Linked DNA regions of Arabidopsis thaliana. The protein of the gene in region 1 interacts with the protein of each later gene in a pairwise test. Each region holds a gene or a part of one and is shown on either strand. Other genes may lie near its edges.

The links.
Region 2: the proteins of AT4G27580 (region 1) and AT1G57540 interact in a protein complementation assay, tested with the Arabidopsis thaliana proteins (one large-scale study listed by BioGRID).

The regions. Positions count from the first base shown.
Region 1 is NC_003075.7:13,764,963-13,768,266, forward strand, and holds AT4G27580 (phosphatidylinositol transfer SFH5-like protein), read right to left. Parts: upstream 1,636-3,304; 5' UTR 1,345-1,635; coding exon 1,225-1,344; intron 1,065-1,224; coding exon 870-1,064; 3' UTR 697-869; downstream 1-696. Other genes in the region: AT4G27570 (UDP-Glycosyltransferase superfamily protein), read right to left, coding at 1-56; AT4G27585 (SPFH/Band 7/PHB domain-containing membrane-associated protein family), read right to left, coding at 2,022-2,306, 2,402-2,461, 2,724-2,815, 3,038-3,136.
Region 2 is NC_003070.9:21,309,441-21,313,372, forward strand, and holds AT1G57540 (40S ribosomal protein), read right to left. Parts: upstream 2,082-3,932; 5' UTR 1,973-2,081; exon of another isoform or gene 1,782-1,972; 5' UTR 1,776-1,781; coding exon 1,628-1,775; intron 1,202-1,627; coding exon 1,038-1,201; 3' UTR 455-1,037; downstream 1-454. Other genes in the region: AT1G57550 (Low temperature and salt responsive protein family), read right to left, coding at 3,101-3,184, 3,295-3,369.

The DNA.
Region 1 (3,304 bases):
ATATGGCCTGTTGCGAACCATGGATACATAAGTACATGAAACTTCAAACCACCCATTTCTGTATATTTTCTTTTCGTTTTCTTGTTTCTTTGTATCTCTATTATGCTTTGGATACTAGATGGGTCTATATATAGTGCCAGGGTTTGGTGTGAAAATCTAACAAGGCCTACCTAACTCTGGTTGTGTTCTCTCGATAGTTATTAATATATACACCGTTTGGTTGTTGCTGACATGATTCTCATACCAAAACATAACGCTGGTTTTCCCATTTGCTGCTTTGATTGCTTATTTATAGTTGTATTACTGGTCGATTGAGCCTTGCGTAGACACGTCTGATTGGGGTCCGTTAAAATTTTAATTGAGCCTCGATATAGATGCGCACTAGATGTATCCATGGTGGCCTGTAGTATTTGTTTACGACCAATAAAACTTGGGGTGTTCGGTAAAAGTGTACATTGCCTTCTCCGAAATCCAACTAAAACCGTACCGGAAATTTAATATCCTTGCTATAAATGCGTGGTAGTTGGAATCGACATGCAAAAAGAACCAAGATTTTGTAGGCCATGTACTCATTCTTCATTTTATCCTCTGCAACCGTGGGACATAGAGGAGGAACCTCTAGTCTAGATATCGATCTACTTGGTGCCAACTGAATGTCCCAGTTTTAGTGTTGATATTTACACATCATAAGCTATATAAAAAAGAATTGTAATTTTTCGTTAATCATAATTTACTAGAGGCGGGCACAACAGAATGTACATGGGTATTGTACATATTGACAATAGAACAGAGATGAACATACGAATAACAATGTGAGAAACACTTGCACTTGCACATACTCATGATTTTGAGATTTGATGAAATGAAAATCAAAGGATCACGAGAGGGGCCTCATCGGTTTTAGCAGCAGGTGTGGTCTCTTGTGCTGGTGGCTCAGTCTCAGAAGATGTTTTTTCTTCTGCCTTCACAGCTTCTGGAGTTGGCTCAGCCTTGGTTGCCTCAGAGGAGTCCTCTTTTGTCTCACCTTCCTTCTTTGTCTCTTCAATGGACTCTTCCTTCTTCTCCTTTAATCAACAATCAGCAACAATAGTTTTAACTTAATATGAGTTTGTTCAATCAAGAATTTGTAGTAAATTCTGTTTAATTGGTAAATTTCATGTTATTCAATTCAAGAATCTTTAAGATCATCTACTAAATTATTTAGAAAGAATATATTGGACTCACCTGAGTTAATGTGGCATCTGTCTCGGTCGCGGCATTCTTGGACTCAACAACAGCATTTTCGGTCGAGACAGAGCCTTCGACGATGTCAGATTCCTTAGGTTTGCTCGCACAGGCTCCCATGGTTTTTGGATTGAAAGGATTAGTTTGGAAAACAAAACTTACAATGGGAAGAGCTGTGGAGCAAAAAAAGAAAGAAAGAAAAGGAGAACTCCTCTAGACAAAGCTGACTTTGAAGAGGCCAAAACTCTTTAATTTTATAACCGGAGGCTGAGCAAATGGAGGAGAGGGCTGTGAACAGATTCATACAGGAATCGTATGGACTAAAGCTATTTCAGGTAAAGTTTTGGTTAATTTCAGAATCACAAGTCATTACACCTTTGATTCTCTGTGAGGACCTATTTATCCGGAGGACAACTTTTATCTCCACCATTCTTCTATATCCTGTTTAGGGGGCAATGGCTTCTTTTCTGCTGGCAAATTCTGACATCTCATGGATTCACAAGCTCCTCCTGGTTAGATTGCAATACTCTGCAACCGAACCGAATAATAACGGGTACAGGTAATAAGCAATGCAATGGGAATAAAGGTGAATAAGAACACAAGGACCATGTTCATAACAAATCCAGTAGGAAAATTCTTATCGGAGAACAGATGTTCAGATTCGTTTCTATATGCAAAGTGATGATATTCTAGCTATTCAAACGGAAAAGATGGTTACTGCCTCATATTTGAAAGATGAAAAATGGTTTCCAGTTTTCTCAAGCCCAAAGAATTTATCTCATCCCCGGTTCGGCTGCCTACTGCGGATCCTTGTTGCGGTTCTGAAGAGAAAATCGTGGTTCACCGGTGTGACCTGGTTTCTCTGTGTCAAATGATATTGAGCCTGATCGGTTATTAGAGCCTTCTGATATATGTTTCTCACCCATGTCTTCCAACTCTTCCAAATCTGTTTCATCAAGTGCTTGTGTTTCTTGGTGATCTTTGCTTGGACCATTGATGACAAGGCTTTTGTACATTGTTAAAGCTTGAGCAATCATGCTAGCAGGATTTGAAGCACCACTTGGAAGCAACATTATCGTACCCTAAACCCCAAAAAAAAACAAAAAACATGAACATTACATAAGCCCGAGCTATGCCAAGAGACTGGAAGAGATTACAGTAATTGATTTGTTTTTACCTCCTTGGCAATGTTACCGAAGGCTGTAATGTATTGCTCTGCAACTCTCAAACTCGCCGCCTGCAAATTTTACAGTGACACCGTATGAGATCATATTTTGGACAGAAAAAGTTAAGAAACCTAAACACAGCAATAATAGTGATATGACTTAAAATTCCAAAAGTTGGAAAGTTCAAGAAGACACAGAACCCTTTATCCAAAGAGAATAAAGACGTACACATTTAGCAATTTGTGTAAATACTATGAAGAATTAATTAATCAAAGCTAGTTAGTTAAATCAAAACTATGAATACCAATATTCTGCTTGATCTCAATTACTCACCTCTACTCCCCCAGTTTCCTTGAGGGACTGAGATAACAAGACCAGGCCTTTCGCAGTTGCTTGTGCTCTAGCTAGTATTGCTTCTGCCTCACCTGTAGAACATCATCAAGGATAATATAAGAAAAAACCAGTGGGAGATAGCAACCATATTGTGCATTAGCAGTAACGAAAATAGTTCCTCATGCACCAAGCATTCATCAGTGTACAGTGGAAAAATAAGCAAATGAAAACTAACTTTTTCTTCTAGTGAAACTAACTAACAATGGACATAACATGCAACTCTGATGTGTTCTCGATCTTAATGGCTCACTAACCTTGTGCTCGATTCACCTGGTCCATCTTTGCTGCTTCAGATGCCAAGATTACAGAACTTTTCTTACCATCAGCAATGTTGATATGGGATTGCCTTTCTCCTGTCAAATTTAGTAAAGCAATGATTAGAAACATGCTAAGCAGGCCTCTTCTTTTCCAAATGCAAAAAACGAAACTCAAAAGGAATAACAGATAGATTTTAGCCAAGAATAACATTATGAGCCGTAGCAAGCACTGCTCAGTCTCGAAGATGAGTTCTCAAAGACAAG
Region 2 (3,932 bases), on another chromosome or scaffold:
TTGTTTCTTTGCGCCAAGAACTGTGCAAAAACCACATGTGGATGGATCTTTTGGTTTTGTAGTCTGCCTAGTCAATGGTTCAAACATCATAAGGTGTCAAGTATAGTGAAAGTAACCTCTGACATTTCCACTCATTCCCTATAACAAACTTGGCATGTAACGTAACTTAACCTTTTACCAAAAAAAAAAAACTTGACATGTATGCATTTCTCTTATTGAGTTCTCTTTTGATAACGATTTTGTTGTAATACTCTTGTCAAAGAACACTGAAAATGGAATGAAACAAGCTTTAGAAAATAAGATCTGACCCTACCGGATTCAAACTATTGACCTAAGGATGTTCTGCTTCAACTATTGTTTTCATTCGAAATGCAAAGAAACAACCTCCGTTCCAAAAAGCTAGATCTTTGGCCTCCATAGCTTGCAGAATTCACTTGATTAAGTTATGTTCTCCATGACATTATAATACCACAGGCTTATATGCTGTGTCTATATGACAATATCACTGAAATCCTAGCTCTTTACTCACATTCAAAACACATTGATGTCGATTATAATTAATTAATTAATTATGCTCGAGAAATGGTAGCATTAGGTTTGTTGGTGATCAAACATATTCCTACACATATTTAACTAGCAGGCATCTCCATGAAGTCACAACCTCGGTGTGGATATTCCACCTATGACTAGTTTGAGGGGATAGTGAGACCCAACCCTCCAAATAAATCCAAAGGTCTTCCCTTCGACAGCAAAAGCTTTAGAAAGCTAAACACTCTCCCAAAAGAGTGTGACCAATGGCCAATTACACTACACTCATAATCAAACACACACGAAAATGAGAGAGGAGCATAGGATGATACTCTTAACTCTATCAACCTAAAGGCTATATGAAAAAATACACCATAATTTCTAAAGGAAACAAAAAGTGACAGAATTTGGTAGTATTATAAATAGTTACCTAAATTCATGTACTGCAAGAAAATGTACAGAAGATGAGGTCCATACACATCATAGGTAAAGCCAGATTATGATGGGGTTTAAGGGAGTGAAGCTTGAGGGGTTTTGATGTTATCATATGCAGCAATGTTTTGTGGTTCACATTCAGGGCTGAAGAGACGGACAAGCATTGCAGTTGATGTGCTTACGGACAAAGCACCACACCCAGCCCACCGCAGACTCCTTGGCACTGTGATCCTTGGACCTACACATTTCCCAAAGAAAACATTTGCTTTTATAACCGTTCTATCTTAGAATTGACTCAACTATTCTATTCTACGTTCCTTTTACTCTTAAAACCACATAAACAACAAACCAACCCCAAGAATCATTTTTCATGACAATAGGAATCAAAGAACAAGTGTATTGCTTCCCAAAACGTGTAAAGATCCAATCTTTCACCACATCAAACTATTCAATCAAAGCTCCTTTTGGATTCATTTTTCTCATAAGAAACGGATACTACAGAACAGAAAACAGAATGGTAATACGCATTGGTATGTTTTCATAAGGCTACAAGAAATCTTTCTAACAATCAATTATGCAGAGCACTGGATTCAATAGCTATATGGAGAACAACCTTTTGATGGAAACGCAAATCACTGATTAGAAAGGAGAGAACTTTGTTTACCATAGTGAAGTCTGCAAAGAACCCAGAAACCAAGAGCTCCACCAACAGTGAAAATGGCAGCTGTTTGTTTCATCAGTCTTGAACATGGCTTAGCATCTGATCTCATCAGATCTCCTTCTGACCATCCTAACTTCTGCCTTAACGCCATTTCTCTCTGTAATAACAACACCAAATTAATTTAAGTATAAGAGAAACGAAACTATTCGGTTTTGTGATTAAGATATTCACTGAGGCATTTCATCGAGCAGTATAAGGGCAACTTCAAAAACGAGCAACAGATATAATAACTCTATATGGGTTAAGATCTAAGCAGTAAAAAAGAGAGCAGAATTGGTACATAAATACCAGAAGCAAAAGCAATCTCTGTCGTTACCGGTGATGCGTAGTTTCTTTGGCTGTGTCGCCGTCGAGCTTGTCGGAAGAAGACGGAGAAGAGAATCAGATCCACGTGTCTAATTAGCTGATATTTGGAAGCCCAATAAGTGTTAACTATCTTAATGGGCCGGACACAATAATCGTCGGATCCAAGTGATACACGTGGCTCGGAAAAACAATTTGTTTTTTCAAGGAGTTGGTTTCTGTCTTTCTGAATTAATTAAAAGGTTTTTTTTTCGTTAATTAGTACGAACTAATTAAAAGTTAGTGTAAAGTAGATTCGAGGTTTCACCGAGGTACACTTAGAGAGTTAGAGGGGATTGCAAAAAACCTTAATTGACAGCATTAACAATGGATTAATAGACGCATCTATTATCGGAATTTACACCGATATCTTGGATATTTAAGGTTAGAAAATAATATTTTTCTCATTCGAATCGTTGTTGTAACCAAGTAGCTCATAATTTTTTTCATTATGGGAGAGCATTGACTATACCAATTGATCCTCTTTGGTAAGATGGGACGATTTCAATAGATTTTGTTTACATTTTTTGCTTACCACTTTGAGGTAAAGAATTTGTATATGCAGGGATTATTGGGAACGTCTTCATGGGAGCCTATACCACACGGTATTCGATTCAAGCAATCTTCAAATCGGAATTGCAGAAGCTATATAAAATTATAAATGTATGTACACAGGTTTATATTTATCGTTATACGCATAAGTAAACTGTGTGTATCGATGACTCCATGTAATATCTCTATCAGAACTTTATAGTTCCTAATGGTACTAATAATTTGATCACTCTTTAGATGTAGTATTACTACAATTCAAAATTTATATCACGCATATAATAATATCATCAATCTTCCAAATCTGTTTATGATCCGTAAAATGTATCCATAACCTCTGCAAACTAGAACAACAGCAATTTGGAAACTGCTGGAATTTACATACATCTAACATAGCAAAAAGTTTGCTAGATTACAAAACTGATTCCTTAAATACAACATAAAAAATCTAAAAAAGCAAACATTGTTGGAAAAAGAAAAAGTTATAAAATAAAAAAAGGATCCAGTGTTTTTGATTGGTTATTCCTACTTGGTGAGAACGTAGATGGCATATATCAGTCCGGGGATAAAAGCGAATAACGTTAGAAGCAAACAGACCCAAAACTCCAACTGCAAACACATATACAAAGAAACAAAAAAACAAGAGATTTGATCTTACTTTGACCATTAATGTCAAATGTGTCATATATTTTTATGATTTATGAATGAAAAAAATTTACCCCAAGGCCATATCTGAGGAACACACCAACAGGAGGTATGAAGATTGCACAAAGAACCTCAAGGAAGCTACCCATTTTTTTCTTCTGTAATTTTATGTTTTTTTTATATGTTTTTTTATGTTTTTTTTTGTTTTTCTGTTTCTTAGTTTTGAACTTTGTTTTATTTCTTCTTACGTGTTCATTTCCATTTATGAACTTTGTAAAAGAACAAGAAAATAGAATTAGTGGTTACGTTAAATAAGGGAAGAAACTGAGTTTGATTGTGTAACGTCCTCTGCTTGTTCCTAAAATGAAGGAGCTCCACTTCAACACAAACAACACAACCCTTTGCGTTTTGACGCAACCTTCCGTTGTTCATCGGTTGGAAACAAAAAAATGGGATGAACACAAATAAGAAGTCGAATAACTTAAAAATAAAATGTTTTGTTTTTGGGCAAAGAAATTAAAATGTTACAATCATAATGTCTGTTACAAAAATAAAATTAAATTTCATGGATTACAAATATATATAGGCCATTAGTTTGTATTAGTATCATCTTATGTAGATAAAATGTTTGCTTTTAACTCAAGTGTAAACATAATTTTTAGTGATTTTTATCAAGTTTTTTTTCTTTTACTCAAGTTTTTTTTCCAAACAT